Bombyx mori: one gene and its partner. The protein of the gene in region 2 purifies or fractionates together with the protein of the main gene of each other region. This does not show direct contact. Links are inferred from orthologs where the notes say so. Each region holds a gene or a part of one and is shown on either strand. Other genes may lie near its edges.

Region 1 (11,466 bases), on a different chromosome or scaffold from region 2:
GGGGATCTGCAAGTGACTTCAAAATCTAAATCTAAAGAATATTCTGAACTGAATCTGAATTAAACTAAAAAGATTCCCTCCCTGACATCTTGTTGTTGTTGTATTTCTAGGGTACCCTGCTGGTACATAGGGTCCTCAGAAGTTGTCTCCACTTGACCCTGCCCTGTATTGACATAGCCATATGCTTAAAACTATGGCATTAGTCTCAAGTAGATTATCTGCTCTGCACGACAAGTATAACGCAACAAATCTCCTCATTAACTAAGAACTGAATAAAGCACCACATACATACCATTCTCATGTGATTGTTAGTGATGAGTGTTAGAACTACAATTAGAGGATGAAGTGGTGGTGTTATATAGAATATTCCATATAACACAGAATGTGATATAACATAATATGGAATGAAATGAACAACTCTTGGTTTTGTAAGCTTTTCCTTGTGATGACCATATTAAAAATATATGTATTTTTGTTATAATTGATGTTTTAACTATAGCTGTGACCCACAAAAGCCTGCTGCACATGAAAATGTATGATAATACAATTAGATCATCAATACTATATGTAGAATTACCTTTAAAACCTTTGAAGAATAAAAATTATTGTTTTTTTTTTAATAATCGCTTTAGAATCAATATCTATACTAATAGTAGTGGTTTTTACTGATGTTCTGTTATAACTACTGAACCATGGATCCGATTGACTTGAAACTTGGTATCCATGTAGAAAATACATGTACTTAATGGATAGGCTAATATTTATATGAGTGTTGGACTCCCTACACCAGTTGCGGGGGCGTTAATGATGAGAATCTTTGTGGGGGTGAGAAATAATACTGTTAATTTTAAATGGTATTTCTATATAAAATTAGAATACGTGACAATTCGTTGTGTGAATGTGGTTTGGACGACAGCAGTATAGATCACATTTTCCTCAATTGTCGCTTGAACAACTCATTCATATGAGACCAAGTTATTAGCGAACTGAAAATTCAACGGCCGGTAAATGTCCGCCACAACCTCTCACTGTTCCCAGATCCCCGTATTATAAGTGCTTTTATTAAGTTTTTAACTACTAACTCTATAAAATTATAATGATATGTAGTGCATTACTCTCTGTACATAATCTTTATTATAATATGTAAGTTTATAGTAACATTAATTTTGTGTTAGTCCCAGGCACCATTATTATTGCCAAAATTGGATACTTTTCATAATAAAAAGTGTGTTTAAATAGCTCGACAATGTTCCATGTGTAGCCATAACACGACACTGGCAGAAATTGCTGAAAGTATCGGCAGATTGCCATTAAAAAATATATAATAATAATAATAATTTTAAGTGCTCAGTGAAGCGGACGGGTACAGCTAGTACAATATGAAATTAGAGTACCTAATCCCATAGTGTTTTCTCCTCGAGAATGATGAGCTCTGAGTCGAGCAATGAGATCAGCACTGTCGTAGCCAGCATTGTCGGCGACAGCGGACGGCAGTCTCCGGAGCGCGACTGCAAAGGCTTCGGCTGCTGCGGCTTCCTTCCCGGCTGTGCGAGCGCCGGCGCGGGAAGCTGCTTCTGCCATTAGCATTTCACCAGCCCCTACATGCAAAAAATGCTTTGACATATGGATTTTATTTCCAGTATAGATAATAGGGTGTTCAGTCCAGACAGTCGAAGTTGATCAGTGACTGCGACAGTCCATCTGCGAGTCTTTGTAAAAAAATATATTTGTAAATTTATGACACCCTTTATCCCAACTAAAAGAGATTAACGCATCATTTTGCTATAACAAATATTACAGTTATATACTGTCTTCTTAGTCGTTACACTCTTGACATATAGCAATGGAGGATGCAAATTTGATGCGCCTCACCATATCCCACCATCACACTAGGTACACATTATTGTGTTTTAATTAATCACACATCGCACCTTTAGAATTATAGAGACCTAACCCAAAAAATGTGTTTTTTGTAAAACGTTGAATAAAGTTTTCAAACGGAATAGACATAAGAGGAGGATGATGTGAAAGAGACCTATGGATAAGTTTGTCCCTTTATAAGCTACTTTCGGTCATTTGATTAAAAAGAGCAGCTGATGATGGGTCGTTCTAGGTCAATTTTTTAATTAAAGTCGAAATAAAAAATTTCAAAATGGGTCTGTATAATTCTAAAAGTGCGATATATTTTGTGTAAATGTCATGTAAAATGCAAAAGTAAAATATATTAAACATAGTTTTATTTTAGTCTTTTATTAAGTAATTCATACCTCCTCCACATATGACCTTCGGTTCTTTTACAGTAGCAGCAAGCACGCAAAGCGCATCATGGAGTGAACGCTCAGCTTCGTCGATAACTTGTTGCGTGGCACCACGGATTACGATCGTGCAAGCCGAGCCCAACGCTACACCAGAGAAGCGGATCAAGCTCTCATCACCAATCAGAACCTGTGAGTGGTCACCGATTATAAATATGTTACTTTATAAATAGCTACCTAATATTATGATTTATTTTTGATATATTTGGGTGACAGAAAACAACATCACACCACAAACATTGCCAATTAAGTAGTTACTACAGCAAAAACTCAATTGAACCAAACAAAAAAACTTTATCCTTAAAAGATTGGGATATGTACTTGAATAGGTTGTAAAAAAACTCAAACAGAACAGTGAAACCACAAATGCACTTTTTAGTAGATATTTAAAATGTCTACTTTGAGTATGTGCTTCAATTGATATTGATAAGCAAGTTATGCACCAGAAGATTGATAAAAAAGTTAAAAAACCATGCTTGAGGAACATCGGTATAGCAACAGATCAAAAGACAAATTTTCTGCATTGACAGCAAATCTCTTATTGAGAAGAGGTTTTCTTATGATTTAAAATATGTCATTTTACCTCTTCGATCAATTTGCAGTGACCAAGTTTCACTTTGTCTGGTGAGTCAAATGTTGACACAATTTCCCCTCCAGTGACCAAGCCAAGCCTTTCGATACCTTCGAAATCAGCATGCTCAATTGCCATTACTCCAGCATCAGCAAACAACTGCTCTGGGTAGTTGTATATAAGTTGTCTGAAAATTAAAATTACCATAATAAGATACCCTCTTAGGCTTCCAAACACAAAAATTTCAAGAGATTAATTTAATATAAGCATATTTATGCTTATTTCAGATGCTATGCAGTTAATTTGTTTTATTTTACTTAAATATTGTTTTAATCATATCTGCATTAACATTATGTATCAACGAAGCGCTGGGGTCGTTAGTTTGACTTCACCTATTGAAGAAACAAGCAAAGTCATGTTATAGTTTAGTCAATAAACATTTAAATACGTTGGAATATATACTCTGGGTCACGAGATCTTTTTTGAAAGAAATAAATTATTATGATTTGTTATTTAATAATGAATTAGCACATGTGTTGGGTAACAAATCAATTCATTGTGTGTCTTTATGTAACCCCCACTTAGCAATTACTTTATTAAAAGGAGAACAATTACCCTCACTAATACACTACATAAATAGAAAGATAATCAGGTTTGTAAAAAAAAGTTTAATGCTATGTTCTACTCTTGAGTAAAAATAATAAATTACTTAAATTAGGTTCGGTCAGCCTAATTTAAAATAAAAACAGTGATGTAAGATATCAATCTGGGCACCTCTGTTTACATTTTGAAATCTATAAGCTCTTGTAATTGGTTAACATCAGATCGGAGCTAACTTGACCAACTAAGCAAATACAAAATAAAAACAACTTATGACTCACTGACTGAAAAATAATAATTAAGAACCAATATTTGCAACAGCAATCAGTTTTGTATAAGAATAAGTAATGTATAATAATAAGTAATCTATAATAATATTTTCTGAGTATCCAAAAATAGAGCAATTATACAAATCTTTATAGCAAAACAATCTCACCTGTTAATGAAGACATTACATTTGTGTGCTAAAATCTTGTTCACTTTGTCCTTCATTTTCTCTTTCTCAGCTACTTCCAATTCAGCAATCTTGGCCATTGAATCCACTTTAATTGTGGAACCAAACACTTTAATCTTGTCAGTGTCCATTGGTGTGTTTGCAATAAGGATGTTAGCATTTTCTACTTTCTTTGGTTGATGTACACCAACCTATAAGAAATAATATGCCCATTAAAATTTTTGTATCTATAGGTACTGTTTTTCTTTATTAATGTAATGATCAAATAGAAAAACTAAAGAGCACTAAAACTCAATCATTCAAAGGTTTTTTTAAAACTTACTTTTTTGTTTAGCAAGAACCCTTCATCCAAGAATGACTCTTCAAGAAGACCTCCAGATATTTTGATAATTTGGATAGCTTTTAAATTACCAGATCCTTTCAAACGCAAAACTGCATCAACTGCTAATTTTGTGAAATGCCTGAAAGAATATTATACAGTTTATACTGTCTTTGGCCTGAATATTTATGCAACTATGTTGTATGTATATCGTAATGCCTATTGGCTCTGATAGCACTTGAGACTAAGTGCACTATTGAGGCTAATTAAAAAAATACCTCAAGCTTTAGTAATTTGGATAAAAAATATAAATCTCGGCACTACCTTTGGTTGACTGGTAGAGAATGCCTTAGGCATTAATTCCGCCAATGTAAATTTAACATGAAGTGTAATAAATAAATAAAAATCTCATAAAACATTTCACCCCATTTGTACAGTTTCTGTGTTAAAAAATATGAGAAATGACTTTAATTAACCTCTGCTTTTTGGGCTTAGATAATCTGATGCCAATATTTTCTAGATAAGCTGACACATAGACAAACTACAGTTTTTTTTATATCTGCTATTAAGCTACAGCTAAATGACAAAAGAAATTATGATTCTTAGCCAAAAGTTATAATTATTCAGCCATTACTGGTAAATTTACATTATTTTTAAAGCAGATTCTCATGACTTATACTCTTTTTACGCTCAACTCATTGATATAAAGTTGTCCTCTAAATCTTTGGTGATCACAACTCTAAAAAAATCAGAACTTAGACATTCTAATGAAGACCCTGATTGCAAACACTGGTAGATAAAATTGAGTTGCCCTACAAAAAAAAAATACACATAGTAACATTAGCAATACAGCAATAAGTCTTGGAAAATAAAAGACCTAATGAATTAAAATATATGTATATCTAATAATATTGGAATTAATATACTAGTATGTCACAGATATAGCTAATAAATAAAGATATTTTTCAATTGGTATTGAAAACAATGTAATTTCACAGTATACTGGTTTTCACTACTCACTCTTTGTGATTTGAAAGGATCTTTGAGCTCAGTGTGGTCCGTGCGATGTTTTCTAAATCCACTCTTAATGAAGCCTCATTTAAGTTCTTCTGATGATCAAAGCTAGCTTCTGCAAGAGCTTGTTTGGCTGCATCAGAAGCAATTCTCCAACCAGCAATGATTGTTTGAGGGTGCAGTTTTTGTTCAATTAATTTTTCAGCCTCTCGAAGTAATTCAGCAGCTGAATTTAAATAGAACTTTTATCATTATGAGATGCGTTTACATGAATTACAAAAAAAAATCTGATTATATGTTAAAAATAGTATATTTACAAACATATTTCAACTATTTGGTAAGTTTTTTTAAATTTATAACAATGTACAGAGTCAATGTGTTGGCCGAGGTGTTTCCCTAGCGCCTTGCTTGCTTGTTCTTTTTCAAACGAGGCTTGTGGAGAGTACTCAACAGTGGGCAGTGGCTTAGCTCTGCCCCTGGCATTGCTGAAGTCCATGGGCGACGGTAACCACTTACCATCAGGTGGGCCGTATGCTCGTCTGCTTACAAGGGCAATAAAAAAAAATTAAATTAAAGACAACATTATTGTCACTAAAGTTTAAACTAACCCAAAACTGTAACAGATGTGGTGCCATCTCCGACTTCTTCATCTTGTACCTTAGACATATCTACTAGGATTTTAGCAGCAGGATTATCCACACCGATAGATTTCAATATCGTAGCACCATCATTTGTTACTTCGACCTGAAGCGAAAATTCTTTATGCATAAAACATTTCAAAACACAGCATACATTATTAATGTTTAATAAAAAGACAGTTAATTTTACCTGACCAGAGTTCCTCCCGCAGGAAACTAAGATCTTATCCATTCCTTTGGGACCTAAAGTACTCTTTACCAAATCTCCTATGGCAATAGCACCGATGAAACTGGACATCCGGGCAACTTCAGCTTTCTCCTCTTCTGCTTCATTTTTAAGGATACGAATTGGATTTAATGATACCTGTATTAAATTAATTTTAATTTAGAATTACATGTACACGTGCGTGAGGTTATACGGCATCGGGTTCTATTTTCACTTAGTTTTCACTGAATACGTCGTTTTTACTTATAAGTATCAGTAACAATGAAGATACGTTAGATTAAATTAAAGATTTTACTAACCATTTTGGATGAAGGACCTAATTAATTATTTTTCTTTACGCTTTTATCGGCTACAATGCACAAAGAGAAAAGGGAACGACCGAACGACCACTTTGATCACTAATAATGTATACTCTATGTCATGTATTATCTATGCTCTATGTATTTGCTCTCTGTTTTTTGCTAAACTTGTCTATTGGAAAAGCAAAGGGAACGAAACTCATGTAATGAAATCTTGTATTACAAAAATCAAAGCCTCGTATGAATATTGAAATGGAAGTGATTTTACAAATGAAATCGAAGAATGAATCTTTGGTGGAAATGCAAATTGATTGACCGAAGTTATGCGAATTCATTTATTTTATTAGTGAATTGTCTCCTCAGATTAAAACGTGTGTTCATAGTAATTTATTAATTAGGGCAGCTTTGACAGGGAGAATTGAAGTCAATAAAATCGCTGAACGTTGTTTATGATCTCTTTTTTTTTATCGTCACATTTCTGTCGCCATAGCCGAACCTAAAACCACTGCGTTTTCAAAAAGATTTCTTGCTACATACAATTTAGTTTTGGAATAAACTCTCCTCCATTACATTTTTTGAATACTATTTGACCTGGTTGTGCTGTTGATGATGATCATGAGCGATGGTTATAAACATATTTCAACGATGGCGAATAAAATTGAATAAATGGCTGTGGTTTTTGTTACAAAATCGTACTAAAGTTCATCCGTATATACCTTATACACTGCCTTAAAATAAAGTTGAATACCACTGCATCAAATCGTTAAATTTCATCAAGTTACCAGCTTTGAAACGTTATAAATGAAATACAAAAATCTCGAAATTTTACTATTTGAAATCTATTTATCGATTAAAAATCGTTTCATTTTGGTTAAGCAATCAATCTTAGAGCGCCATCCGCCATCCCTAATCCTAATATTTCTATTTAGTCTGTGGTGACGCCATATTTACATTCTACGCCCGTCACCAGTGACCGAATAATAATATTCTGCATTAATCTAGTTACATTCACATTGAAATTTAATAAAAACAGTTCATAATATACAGTAAAAATGGAAGAACAAGGAGGAAGTTCCGCACCAAGAGTAAGCGACAAACGCTTGGCACAAACACAAGCCAAAGTAGATGAAGTTGTTGGCATTATGCGTGTCAATGTCGAGAAAGTTTTGGAAAGAGACCAAAAATTGTCGGAACTAGATAATCGCGCAGATGCGCTGCAACATGGGGCTGCACAGTTTGAACAGCAAGCTGGAAAACTTAAGCGCAAGTATTGGTGGCAGAATTTGAAGATGATGTTAATTATAGGTGCTATTGGTGCAGTGTTGCTTATTATCATTATTGTGTGGGCAACGTCCGGTTCGTCATCCCCTGCCGCGCCTCCAGTAACTGAAGCGCCTAAAGATGTTGGCCGATAGTTAGCCAATTTAAACATATATTCCAAAAAGTATTTATTGTGACTGGGATTGGGGTTCAGAAACGACCAAGCGCGACTGGACAAAGGAAACTTGTAATAGACGCACACTATATTTCTACATGAGTTTTACATTTAGCCTTAAAAATATTGAAAAATTTATACTGTTTACAAAAGTCCCAAACAAAATACTATACAATTTTATAAAAGTTAATACATTAAGATTATTATTATGAAAAATTGTGATTTCTCTTCATAGCTAGCTTTCATATTTAACAGTGGCCAACAATATTTTTATAAATATCTTGTGATAGGTAGTAATAAATTATGAGTAGAGTGTATGTATCACACAGATTGATTATTTAAACTCACTTTAACACATTCCGTGCCAAGTATCCTTGCCTGACTTGTCATTCACTCCATTTGATATTTGGACTAAAGATTGATATATTTTTACAAAACATACTAAGTAAACATGTTCATGTAAGAATCACATTTTACAGAATTACATTTGTTATATATATTCAGTGCAATAAATATGACTGTGTCTACCATGATTCATATGGCACGGAAGCGATTAAATATTTCTCTCCAAAGCAAAATAAAAAGCACTTTTCACACTGAACAATTCACTAGTAGACTTGTCAGTTCCAATAAGTTGTGAATTTGTGATGGTAAATTCTTTACAAATTAACTGAGATACAAAATTTTCACCTAGAAATATGGAGGTAAATAAAACTTACGAACTATAATAACTGTAAAGTGGTTGTTCAAAAAATAAATGATATCAATATTTGATGTTGAGAAGGTTTTGTCCCATTTTGTAAGTTCAGGAATAAAATATATAGGCAAATTGTCCCATTTGTCTATAATAAAAATTTACAAAAAAATATTAACATAGAACAATGTTGCACAATAAATTCTGAGAGGTTTAAATAACACAGAACACAGGTGCTCGAAGGATAAAGATAAAGATGTATACTTTTAACATTTATTGAATTATTGCTATGCTACTTTTTAAGAAATTGCACATTCATTATGTTGCACATTATCCAATCACAAACTTTGGTATAACCATGTAATCTACTAACAGTAACTCTTGTTGGGACCAATTAACGGGGTTAATGATATATTATCAATCGTCTCTAAGCCATATTTGAATTTTAATGTTAATAAAAGTCTGGAAGCTTCTCAAAGCAACTGATGAATCAGTTTGTTAATTATAGTGAAGTCCATTATCATTGTATGACAGTGAAAAATGTTAATGTTGTATTATACTAAATCAATATATGTGTAACACTTATCCTAGTTATTTTGTATTGTATAGATGTAATAAAATGTGTATTCTTCAATTGCTTTATTATTTCTGTTTTACAGAACAATCACATTTGGCACACATTGCTGTCAGATTGAAACAACTAGTTCATTGCACTTCTTAATTCAATATTGATTAAAGAAACATCTAGATATATTTTATTCATACATTTCAATCAAGATATGTAATGTATGGTATTAAAATAATGAGAGTTAATTTTCATTGTTTAACAGAATAATGGATGGTAACTACCAGAAATAAACTAGTCACATAGTTTGAAATTCTGTATAGTGCTACTTTTAACACACTCATATTTTTAGTCCTGCATGGATGTCCATATAAATGTTATGATTAATTGATCTACAAGTAAGCAGTATGTTAGAAAATTCATACAAAATAATATAATATATTTAGGCAAACAATGATCACATGCAACACGAGATCATGTGCCTTGAGAATCGAGATAAGAGAATGACACATTGAAGTCTAAAAAAATCTTGATCTTGTTTCCCCCTACCTATTTGTTGGTAGCCTAGGGGATTATTCGAACTCACTGACACTGAAGTATGAAACCTATGGAAATGAAACGTCAACAAAAAATTCGTGCCACTGTGACGTCATCTGGCCACAAAACATGGCGGTTTTAGTGCTGCCCAGAAGATTTTAATGTTAGTAGCTTTTATCGATAAACGTTCTTTGCTCATTTTATTTTAAATATTGTTGAGTATGAATTATTTGTAGAATTTATACTTTAATAGGAAGTAAGTATATTGTTATGTGCAAAGATGAGGTGATTTAGATAATATGTGAAATCTAAGACGACTTCAAATTTGCCAAGTAAACGATATGATGATTTTTAAAATTTGTTACACTGATTTTATATAGTTGTCGTTTGCCGCAAAACATAAAGATATGGCGTAGTGCAGTGCCATCTGTCCATTTCTAGCATGCTAAATGTTATGGTATTTTGAGTACGTGTTTTTCTTAGACTATTACAATCTATTTTAATTCTGTTGCTGAACTAAAGTCCGTAACACACTACCGCAGCGCACCTCAAGGAAGGTGCGCCGCACCATTTGAATCACTCTCACTTGAGAGTGATTAAAATTTTAAGCTTATCAAGGGACCACGTGATAAAAAAAAAACACCTACAGAACATTTATTCATTAATTACAAACGTCATTCCTTGTGACTTCCTCTTTAAAATCACTTAATTACTAAATATTTAACGAATTTACAATAGTGTTTTGCTCACTGCGGAATAAAACTATTTTATTTAAATAGTTCCGAAGAGATTTTGTCGGTAGCCTTTTTCCCGAAATATCTAAACAGAATGTATAAATATGTTTTGATGACATATTTTAAAGAGGTATTTATGATTAGTGTCAAGATCAATAGATTCCGACCGAAAAACGGGGTCCGATTTTTCGGATGAGGGCTCCATAATGAATTTAAATATATATAGATAATAGTTTTGGGGCATCGACTTTCTTGAGATCCTATAAAATAGTTTTTAATTATTATTTTTGTATGTTTTAAGCGGGGTAGCATGGTAGGATGACTCGATCCTAAGGTGACTGTTTCGGGTAAGGAAATTGATCGGGTGGAGTTAGCATGCAGTTTGGGTTTGACATTTGATCCCGAATTGCGATTCGAGGCCCATATTACAAAGAATTTAAGAACTTGTTTTTACAGACTGAAGATTCTGTACTCGTTTAGACAGTACGTCAGTGTACCCATTAGGAAGTTGCTTATCGATAGTCTAGTTTTGTCGAAATTAAATTACTGTGATACTGTTTATGGTCCCTGTTTACTCTCGAGAACTGAAAAATTAATACAACGCATTCAAAATGCCTGTGCCAGGTATTGCTTTGACATTCCTGTGAGAGGACACATAACGCCCTATTTAAATGATCACAATATATTGAAAATGGCAGCTAGAAGAAGGTTGCACTTAGCAGTCTTACTGTTTGGAGTGATTTCGACACATGAACCTAGGTACTTGTATGAGAAGTTAGATTGGAGAAGCACTCAGTACAGGTATGGCTCACGAGCTGCTGTTAAGCCATTGTTGACGCCCAAATATAAAACAGCTGCTTTTCGGGGAGCGTTTAAATACGCAGCTACGCATTGCTGGAACGATCTCCCACCACCTATTCGTCACATTGTAACAAAGCATGGCTTTATTAATCGTTTAAAAACATTTCTTTTGGATTCACAAAAACTAATTTAATTTATAGTATTCATAGTAACTGGTTTAATTCTTGCTTGTGAAAACTTCCTTTTATTAAAGTTATTTTTATT
Region 2 (11,456 bases):
GAGATTACAGTTGATCACTTAACCAAGACGAATGTGAGCGAACTGAGAGGCTCAGCCAGGAGGAGGTGGTTTGATAACAAGCTCCGACACCCGCAAAGGAGGTACGGTTCGCTTCGCGATAAACTTTTCCTATTCGCTCGTAGGTAGGTAGTGGGTAGGCCTCCAACAAGAAGGACCGAGGATCTATTGAGGTTCGCGGGGATCCGTTGCATGCAAGCAGGGCAGAACTTGGCTTATGTCCAACAGTGGACGTCTCCGGGCTGATAGAAGAATAAGAAGAAGAATTCGCTCACACTACTCGGCAGTATATTCCAGATTTATTAATTTTACAGTCTTTCGTTAGTGTTACATGGTTCCGCTATTTGACGCATGATGGCTCTCTCAACCTAAATACGGTAAAATTCAATCACCATTGAAAAATCTTAATCGAAATATTAGTTTCCATTACTGTTCTTGTTCGTAGCCCGCAATGCAATTTAGTTTAGCTTTACATTGCTGATTCACAAAATATTCTATTCTAATAATACCGTGTTTCATTCTGACCTAGACAACAATCCGGTGACGCACGTGTACCTACACATATTAAACTACCGACCTGCCTTCGCAGCGCTTGGGGGACTAAAATTTACTATTGATTTTATTGAATTTCCTTTTATACAAATCTGAACCTGAGAAAATAATGTAATATAGGATATTGTATAAAGAATTGTTTGTAGTACCACCATGACGCTTTAGCACCTTTTTTTGCCCTAGTGGGTATACGAGCATACCGCCCACCTGATAGTGAGTGGTTACCGTCGCCCATGGACTGCAGCAATGCCAGGGGCAGAGCCAAGCCGCTGCCTTATACCGAAACTAAAAAAAATAATATTAGTGGTTAAGCTTTCTTCAATTTTCTAATGTTCCGCGCAATTTCCTTAATAAGTTTTTTTAAATAACTTTCTCCTGACAATAACAAACATAGCAAAAAAAAAAAAAAATCCAATTCGTTGCCGGCGTTCTATAGTTATGCGTGTACATACATTCTGCAGATTCATTTATATATATATAAATATTGATACTTGCCTTATAACGTCGGCCATAGTGGGAGGCGCCGGCGGTCCGCCAACACCATCACATATATCTCCCTCCTGGGGACGTGGAAACATTGAGTACATGGTAAAAACAACAGCCATTAGATCTCTAACAAGAGCAGTAGTGCTCGGGACGATCATATCGAGGGTCGAAATGTTATTTGACTTAAACGACATTTTTGCAACTTTACAGGAGAGCCATTTAAAGTTTAAAATTAGCAAAAAACATCTTAAAGAAAAAAAAACTTCTTGAGCTATTTAAATGTATTAAGCCACATTGAATTTCAATTAAAAGCATCAAACTTTTGATGCTTTTAACAAATAAAAAACACCTTAAAGGCTTCGTCAAACAGAACGCGTAATTAGCGCGGTTCAGAGCGCTACGCTATAACGCCGAGATGTGTTGTACTCAGCAGTATAGCTATACCGCTGGCGCTCTGTTTGACGGTATCTTACCATAGTAGTACAACACATCTCGGCGTCATAGCGCGGCGTTAGTTTAGCGCTCTGACGCGCGCTAAGTACGCGTTCTGTTTGACGAAGCCTTTAATTACAAAGATAAATGTCCCATGTTAAGCGAAATGTTGCATAAACCAAATAGCTTTCCACTCTTCTATATGTTTATGGGAGTCAATTAATATCACCAAGTATCGGTATCACCATCCACTTGGGACATCAGGTTGAAGTCTCAACTATCATTGACAGCATCTGTCCCACCTGCAAAATAGGATGCCTATTTGCTTCATGGGCTGCTTACACAGATCGGTAGTGGCTGGCAATGAGGATGGATAACCAGGCCACCGCTACTGATAACCCAAACAGAAACATGTCTGTTGATTTTCATAGTACAATATTATTGAACATGGAAGTCATTGGTCGAATTCAGTTAGATAGTCCAGGCAGGATTACAATAGTAATTTTCGAGTCACTCAGAATGGGCACACTGATCAGTTCATGTTTTTTTTATTGCTTGGTTAGGTGGACGAGCTCACGGCCCACCTGAACTAAGTGGTTATAGACCCACAGACATGTACAATGTTAACGCCGTCACCCACCTTGAGACATGCGTTGTAAGGTCTCGCTTTTAACAGTATATAGTGTGTGGTACCTGCGGTACCTGGTATACCTGCGGGTGCGAGAGCGCGGCGCCCATATTAGCGACGGGCGCGCACAAACAGCACAGCAGCCGGCTCATGGGTCGAGCCCCGCCATCACAGCCGCGTACCTCCTCCTACAAGACCGGCAAACATTGAAACTACCATACCACAACATCAGTGTATAAGTAGTTAATGTCACCCGTGGACAGCAGCAGTGTCTGAGAGTGTTTCTTACTAAGCAGCATTTGACAATGGACATATTGGACTAATATGATAAAAGGCAATCTTCATGGATTTTCACTAGTTGTAGAAATAATCAAAATAACTTTTATAAACCATAAGATTACATATTATTTAAATATCAATTTCATTTTATCCAATGGCTCAAATATTTCACTTTTTATGATCATGGAATATTAAGGAGTGTTATCTCAACCTATGGTTCATATTATGCTAACTAAGCTAAGCATCTTCATTACACAATATGGTATTCAGGAAATAATAGTACAAATTATGTATTAAACATCTCCACAATGTGCCCCACAAGTGTCTTGACGTGAGATTTATTGGCAACAAAAATATACAAAGTGGATCTATTTGCCCAGAGAAGAAGTAGCAGTTCTAAGTGGTCTAGATTTGACTCTTCTATTCATTTGACTTCAAATTAAACTCTTAGTTTCAAATACATATTTACCAACTGCAATGGAAATGCATCAGCATACTTTGCTGTAATGACATCAAGCATCTGAGAAATGGTACCATAAGCAAATATCAATGATCAATGTGGCCATTGTGATATCCTACACTTCCAGTCAAATATATGTATCATGTACATAATTAATCCCAAGACAAACAATTTGTTAGAATGCAAAAGAAGACTCAGCCTCCATCAAAAATAGTCTCTCAGACAAATAGGATTTGCATGGTAAGTGGTAGTTATGGTAAGGCTGTTCGTAACCTCATAGAAAAGATCTTAAGGTCAAACTCTATTGAAGGTCTGCTGTATGTCAAGCAAGACCAAAGAGCAGTATTCATTATTTACCAGTAACTTACTGATTCTATCCACCACTTTATGAATTTTTTAAGTTGGTTTGTATAGGTAAAAATTGGTGTAACAACTGCTTTTCGAAAATCTCAGAAAACTAGCAGTAGGCTAATAAGTCTATGGAAATTACTTCATTGGTTGGTTTTCCCATTTTGTGTACCATTAAAATTATTACTTTCCAAATGTCAGGATAATATTGAAGTCTTAGAATACAAGAACACTGAACCCTCTGCCTAAAGTGCCTAAAGTAACATGGACATCTAAGTATGACTGTTTCAATCAATACTTTAGTTTACTAGTTAGACCCCTACAGTAACAATTTACATAGATAACAATATTTAAATAAACTACCCATAAGTACTATGTAAGAAACCCCACTATGTAAGAAAATATAATAATTATTAGATCTTTAATTACCATATTTTTTATTATTGGATTTTTGTTGAACAATAATATTGTGATCAGCTGACTGTCAAGTGTTTTGATAGAAGCAAATGCGTACAAAAGGATACACTCAGAATTAGATCTGATAGAAGATTGCAAATATGACAAAACAGTGTTCTGTGCCAAGGACAAAAATGTCTAAATTACTTACATTTCTTATAGTTCTTAGAATATTCATTTATAAAAACAAGATTTTATCTATGTAGGGCACTGATAATTGGGCCTTTTTAAGACTTCAAATACAACCAGATCTAACAGTGATTGAGGCCATAAGCCTAATGAATGAGAACACATCATATGTAGTTAAGATATGCTCATAGATGAGAGCAACTTGGAATAAAAAATCAAATAATAAAAAATATGGTACCGTCAGTGAATATCCACAAAAATCTTTTAAGTACTGAAATAGAAATTAAACAATAAAAAAGAGGTTGGATATATGACTCTGATCCAGAACTACTACCAGTGATTATAACTTCAGCCCATGGACTGGATAACTATTTCTCTTGGATTTCCTTGTTGCTGTGACATACTGTATCATAGAACTGAATTTGATTCTGAGGCAAAATCAGTATCATTATTCAAAATAAATGTGTGTCCAGTACAAAGAAGACAAACTTTGATTTTTTTTAGTTTCTTTATCATGATTACTGTTTGTGATTATATTATGCAATTTTATTCTCTTCTCCATTCTTTGTCACTGATTTATTAACTACTCGACATTGGCAGGGGTGTGCTTTGAAGAAGAAACAGAAGCTTTAATAAGAATAGCGGTTTGGGGACAATCAATGTCAGTTTTTTCTTGTCCATTTTCCTAATATGCTATATACTATCTATATATCTTTAGTATTAAGAAACATTTCTGTATGCAATGGACCTTTAAAATACAATCAACATTACTTTTATAGCTTTGTTTATTCTAAAACATATTTGTTTTTTCATACAATGCACACAAATTATTTAACTGTTTTCAGTGACATTTAATGTTTAATGGGTATGATTTAACTTAAAAAGTGATTGTTTTGTGATGGGAATCAAAAGGCAACAATAAAATTAATTCTAAAGTTTTCATTACAGTGAAATTTTATTTTATGTTGTTCCGGATCCTGCACCAGCAAACATATAAGCTCTTGTTCCAAATTCAGTCAAACATATTTTGCTAGAATGAAATGTTGTTTGTATGTTGTTTGTTTGTTTGTAGTTTGTATGAAAATTATTGAATTTAAATGCTGTTTGTGGGCATCAGTTCTTTTGTTTTTCAGTATACGTTTTAATTTATTTTAGGGGTGCGCCAAAAGGTGGATTTCTGACGTCAGTGCGCGCGCATCTGACCTAAACTCTATCTGACCTACATTTGGAACTTGCAACATCGTATTGACATCGTTATGTGGACATTTTTGCATTTATTAGCTAATGCGAAATGAGAGCAATAGAGAAGGACTGTGTAAAAGAGCACAAGTTCAGTACAACACCATATTCAAGCATTTAATTTATTCCATCGCGGATTTCAGTGCTTTAAGCTCACTCACTGCAAAAAAATTGAGTAATATCGATCACTCTAATTTTTGAGTAATTTTAATATAAATAAAATCACTAACCGCTGTACAAGTACATTACAATATTGCATGAATATGTGGAAACACGATTATTTTCTTCATATAAACACTACCGAACATCCCCATTCGGTCGCCATGATATCAACAAATGATCAACTTGTAAATTTAAATTTCACTTCACTAGAGATATTCATCACTGTTATTTATGTTAAATAATGGTAAACTAATAACATTGAGTATATTATTACATAAATAAGTCACGAATACAAGCTCGATTCGTTTTAAATTGTATAAAAATACGGAATGAGCAAGGCCCGTTATCCTCCTCCTTTATCAGATTTGACACTAAATTTAGTACTGCCGGCTTTAAAATTGGAATCTGCGTGCTGGCCTAATTGTTGCCGAAACAAAGTGTATTTTTAAATAAAAACATCGGTAGGTACTACAAGTATATTGAGTAGTTGTCAATAAATTAATAAAATTTATCAACTGTCGCCGCGTCGGTAGCGTTAGGGAATTGAATAATCTTAAAAGGTAGTCCTGTAATATTACTGGGAACCAGTCTTTCAGTACGGTTTAGAGTTATAAGACAACTATTAGATTTAAAATACATTTAATACTGAACTGTTATGATGTCTGATGAGGACTAGTTAACAGTTCTTTTTGAGAAGGCCATGAAGTCAGCTGAACAGGGACTTTTTATTTTCCGAAGTGTGGTATTAGATAATAAAGGTTACAAAGTTTGTTCGTACCTGATTAGTGTATTTCCGAAGTGCGTTGGAAGAGATTCGCTCAGACGCTTTACATTATGCAAATTAGGTACCGTGATTGATACTGGTATTTCGTCTGTCTTTAGAAACCGCATTCCAGAGATAAAGAAACTTACAAGATCTGCAGTCTAATCAGGGCCTAGTACATTACAAATTTTCTTTTCATTAAAGGTGTAGGATCTGGAAGGACTACATAATTATAATGTGAGCCAAGTTTTGTGCATTGGCATTGGGATCCAAATTCCCAACTAATCTGTGGAAATATTTGTCTTTTGGTAACCCAAATAATTACTCTCAAATTGAAAATTTTGATGTTTTTGACGAAAAAGCGGTTTAATTTATAAAAATTGACAAGAAATAATACACAATAAACATTAAAACCAAGTAGTATTAGCACATGAATTAATGTACGTAAATAACGAAATTAATTTGTCTACTAAATGTTACAAAATCTAATCATAACGAAATAAAAGTTAAAACAAATGGCCATCAAATAAATGTAAACAATACCTACGTAAAATTTTACAAACAAAAAATTGTTTCCGCTTAACAAGAAACGTTTTTTCATTGATACATTTTACGGATATTAGTGATTGTTGCAGCTATTGACCTGTGCAAAGGGTGAGTAGGAATTTAATTAAATATGTAAAAGTCCTCAGTACATAACCCGACTAGGTTTTTTTATGTTCTATACTAATTATAATAACGTTTTCTAAGAAATTGATAAATTAGTACTGTCGAGCATCCCCAAACCTCAGACCACATGATTGAGAAGTGGTTCAGTGTTAGAAGATGCGATCGAAGCTCATTGGTATGAAAACTCGCATGCCTCCTCCTATCTTGAGACAAATTTGATAGCTGACAGAAACAGTGGGGTAGTGGGCTGAAATTGGATCGACTACAAACCCAAACCAACTGGCATACCTAAATCTAACCTGAAGGACTCCTTGTGAAACGATGATGTTACATTTCAGTAATAATTTATCTGTCTCAATAGTCTCAATGATAAAATTTGTGTCAAATTGATCACAAAGATCTAAGGTTGACAATGTTAATTTAGTAAAATGAATGGTAAAAATCAAACCATCAGGCTATCTTATGTGTGTGATTTAAGTTTTATAGGTAGGGTATTTTTGCAAATTCAATGTACATCATAATTATTGAATGTTCACAATACAGTATGCTTATGTTAAGAATAAAACGGTGTCTGTTTGACATTGTACATAATATGGTAACAGCCCTAAAACAATCTGCAATCCCAATTGGTGGTAACCTTAGGACTATGCTCAGCAATCATGCGTTACAATTTGTTGAGTTGTTGGATTGACACAGCTGTGACTCTTAGATGTCCAGCTGGACAACAGTGTGCTATGAGCAGCTATGAAAGCTAGCTAAGACATAATATCATGCAATTGTTGAGGACTCTGTAATGTCATCTGGCTGTGACTATTGTGCTAGAGATACTCAAGTGTGACCACCATTCTTCAAATAAGTATTTATCTTTAGTGAGAAATTTGTGGGTAAAGAGCTCCAAAGATGCAGGTGTGTGGATGAGCTCGCAGCCCACCTAATGTTAAATGGTTATCAGAGCCTGCAATTTTATTATACATAATTATAAGATGGAACAACAGCTGGTATGAGGCCAACTTTCATTTCATTGCAAACAACCGCTAAACAGTTGTGTACCCAGGTCTGATACATGAGGCTGTTGATAACTAAGACTTTAAGCTGATGTCTCAAGGTGAGGGGTGGCATGCATGTTATGATGTATGGGTTTCATGGTGAGGTTTCATGGTGAGGTGGCGGTGTATCGCGTTCCGACCTGGCAGGCTGGTTCTGGCTCAGCGGGGTATCCCGGAACACCAGCGTCATCGCCCGGGCGGCTCGGTAGGGCCGCCGTACCGCGGAGACCGAAGTCGTTGGTCGTCGACTATCGCCTCGACGACCCGTCGGTCGAGCGTCCTCAGGGTGGCGCCGCGTGTCTGGTTGTAGTGTTGACTGCAGGAACCCCTCTACTCTGACCGGGTATTGACCCCGAACGGAGATCGGACGTCGGGTGTAAGAGTGCAGGGGAGTCGTTTAGTGGGTGTGCCCTAAAATTCCTTGGGCCCGCTGTCTGCTTCCAACACCTTGCAGATCGTTGAGTCCCACATAGCCCGCGCGCCCCATAGGCGCGGGGACCTCGTAAGAGGTTCGGGCCTCGGCCCGAAAAAAAAAAAGTCTGAGGTAAAGGATTTGTTAAATTAAATTAATTGGAAATTCAAATTTTAGATAATTATTATTTTGCGTTGTTTGTTGAGCCATCAGCAATTCTACCACTCGTCTTCGTTTCCAGGAACATTACCAACACACCTTCTATGTAATCAAGAAAAGGATGACTTAGACCAAAAACATTTTCTCTGTTCCCAGGTAACCCAATGACTACGAAAAATGAGCCAGTATCCCACCGCACAGAGCCAGGGCACAGAGTCACCGGGGAGTCCAAATATATTCGAAGAACCGGAGCAAAGCTTCGCAGCAGCAGAGAATGACAACCACATAGATCTGCCGTCGACTAGTCGAAGCCATGATCACGATCCCTCCGAGGGTCCGTTAGATGTGCCCAGCGATGAGCCCATACAAATAGACTTGGCCGGTCCCTTGAGGTACGACAACGATGACAGCAACGACACGGTGCTGAACATCATCATTAACGGACCAGGACACCTCCCGGCTCAGAGCGAGGACAGCAACCTCACTTCACCTCTCACCTCATTCAGCGATGAGAGCACGAGACAATCTATAAATGAAGATTCGAATAGTTGCGCTTCGATCAGATTGAACCCCAGGCCCCCTGATGACATCGAACCCCCAGCCAAACTCAGGAAGATGAACGAAGTCGAAGAGGTCGACGGCGAAACCTGCCCGATTTGCTTGGACTCGTGGGGTAACTCCGGTGACCACAGGCTAGTAGCACTGCGCTGCGGTCACCTTTTCGGTTCAGAGTGTGTGGAGCGCTGGCTGAAGGCTCAGAAACTAAAAGACAGAACGTGCCCGACCTGCAAGGGGAAGGCCAACTTGAAGGACCTGAGGTTCATATACGCGAGGCGCTTGGTAGCGGCGGACACTTCGCAAATTACGGCTCTACAAAAACAAGTTGAGATTCTTCAATCAGAGAAGAGCAGAACCGAACTGGAATTAGAAAAGATGAAGATAGCACATCGCGCTTGCGTGCAACAGCTCGAGGGCCTACGGAGCACCCTAATGAAGTCTCAATCTAACAAGGAGCAGCCTTCCAGGAAGTCCTGGAGGTTCGCCTTGGAGAAGAACCTTGAAATATGCAAGGACGGAGGCTGCAGAGTCCTGACCTACAACTGCCGGACCTACGAGTTGTATGTGTCCCAGAAGAGCGTCAACTATCTCTTCCCTGGATTCGGGATAAGGAAGATCAGCTGTGTCGACTACAAGCTGGGGCAGTTCGTCCATCTGCACCCGAAGCCGATCCGCGACATCACGTACTCCCAGCACCGGGACCTGCTGCTGAGCGTGGCCCTGGACAGCACGGCGCGGATAGTCGAGCGCGGCATCCTCAGCGTGACGGTGAACTCGGGCATGCCGCTCTGGTCCTGCTCTTGGGACAACTTGCGCAGCAACGAGTTCTACGTAGGCGGCGTCGGAGGCGTGATCCACCACTATGACGTCAGAAACCCTAGCACCTACTTACGGATGCTGAGCTCTCCGGGGGACCTGTCACCAGTTGTGTCTTTGTGTTCCACAGAATATGGTCTCTTGTCGTGCCAGTTGAACTCATCGAAGCTGTGGGCGGTGAACACAAGGCAGTGTGAGCCGAGGGTCTTGCCCGTGGAAGGATCGTTCATGTCTCTGGCCTATGATAACGCGTCCCAACGCGCCGTCATAGCGTCCAGACCGAGTTCGAATGGTCTAGAAAGATCTAAGTTGAGCGTCTGTAAATTGAAACCGAGCATACCGAACGGCGAAGTTATTTGTGACGTGGTAGAAACATTCTCGGGGTCGCTCAGGTCCTCGTTGATGTCCAAAGTGGCCTGGGTGAGGTTAGCGAGCTCTGCGTGGGTCGCCGCTCATTCTGAAAGCGATTCAGCGCTTTATTTGCACGGCGTCGACGGCACGCGGACCATGTCCCTGCCCGCGTCGGAGCCCGCGCTGGACGTGTGCTCGGTCGAGACGAACGGAAGCAATATACTGGCGGCTCTGTCAGAGTCCCGACTCAGGCTGTACAAGGCGGTCCCCACCAATACGTGACACGATTACACCATTCCATATTAATGTAACTTTTATATTGCTTGACGACGTTGTAGCGTTCAAATTGTCTTGACAGCTGTCATTTTTGACAAGAGTCATGAAAAATTAAATTGAGTGCTTGTTGTCTCTTTTGCTCCCGAAGCTGTGACTTCAGCATGCAGCGTCTATGGTCACTTGCTTATAACAACGCGCTAAGTACTTTGATTTGTATAAATATAATAATTCTTAAATGATATTTTAGACTTTGTAATATAATTTATATTTAAAATGTTTTGTAAATATTAATTGTGTTGAGAAAGTAAAATTTAAACCTTGATACTGTGTTATGTTTCTCTTTGTACACCCATATTATAGAGCTGAAGTTCTTACCCACAGAGCCTCAAGTTTGAACGTGGTGCATGGTGCATGAGGCAGGTGGTTTCAGAAAACTGAGTTATGGTATGTTTACCAAAATCAAAGACGCGATTGTTTAAAATGTCAAGAAAACTAATTAGATGAAAGAATTATATTAATATTAAGTGTATTAACCACGATATTAATTATAGAATTTTGCTATATTAATGGTATTCAATTTGAATACTCTTAACAAGGTAAATAGCTAGTTAATTTTTGTCTTTGACAATAAATAATGCTTTATATATTCAAATAGTAAATATGGAACATTCTTTCTTAAGATTAGGCTTTAAAAGAAAGGATCTTCGCACCAGGTCGATCGGCAGTTCATGTACTGGTATCCAGTAAAATAGATAGGCATTTTGTGAAAAATTCACCAGTCAATCTCCTTCGGATCCTTCCGACCTGCAGATCAGACCCGATACAGGCTTCGCCCAATTTAGATTTTTACTTAGGATAGCATACTGCATTAACTGTGGGAACCAGACTTTTTTTTGCTAAATATCTTCTTGGCTTGGCCTTTGTAGTCATAAGCCTTTTCTGGACTTTGATTTCACTGTCAAAATCAATATTGTCAACTGTCGATTGAAACTTGTCAAAACTCAAAACTGAAAATAAACAGTAGGTCCACTTTTGTTTCTAAGTTTCCAATACGAAAGTCTGTTTTTTTGAAAAGAAATTCTTAAATTTACCACATTAAAGACGTTAATTAAGTAACATTTTTATAAAACTCATTATTTGAACCAGTACAAATCATCGTAAAAACGTAAGTAACAGTATTATTTGTGAGAAATGTACCGTGTGCGCGAATGAGGTCA

The links.
Region 1: the proteins of E3 ubiquitin-protein ligase RFWD3 (region 2) and chaperonin containing t-complex polypeptide 1 beta subunit purify together in Homo sapiens (co-immunoprecipitation; 3 studies listed by BioGRID and IntAct, with this or other methods). This does not show direct contact. The link is inferred for Bombyx mori from reciprocal best matches to the Homo sapiens genes RFWD3 and CCT2.

Annotation. Positions count from the first base shown.
Region 1 is NC_085119.1:8,626,265-8,637,730, forward strand, and holds the start of chaperonin containing t-complex polypeptide 1 beta subunit, read right to left. Parts: upstream 6,534-11,466; 5' UTR 6,440-6,533; coding exon 6,437-6,439; intron 6,276-6,436; coding exon 6,102-6,275; intron 6,018-6,101; coding exon 5,882-6,017; intron 5,500-5,881; coding exon 5,280-5,499; intron 4,402-5,279; coding exon 4,263-4,401; intron 4,132-4,262; coding exon 3,923-4,131; intron 3,074-3,922; coding exon 2,899-3,073; intron 2,446-2,898; coding exon 2,268-2,445; intron 1,599-2,267; coding exon 1,395-1,598; intron 1-1,394. Other genes in the region: synaptobrevin-1, read left to right, coding at 7,489-7,851. UniProt on the Homo sapiens protein: Component of the chaperonin-containing T-complex (TRiC), a molecular chaperone complex that assists the folding of actin, tubulin and other proteins upon ATP hydrolysis.
Region 2 is NC_085117.1:98,328-109,783, reverse strand, and holds E3 ubiquitin-protein ligase RFWD3, read left to right. Parts: upstream 1-6,240; 5' UTR 6,241-6,606; intron 6,607-8,394; 5' UTR 8,395-8,415; coding exon 8,416-10,245; 3' UTR 10,246-10,561; downstream 10,562-11,456. Other genes in the region: BTB/POZ domain-containing protein 7, read right to left, coding at 1,066-1,130, 2,191-2,304, 3,346-3,366. UniProt on the Homo sapiens protein: E3 ubiquitin-protein ligase required for the repair of DNA interstrand cross-links (ICL) in response to DNA damage. Plays a key role in RPA-mediated DNA damage signaling and repair.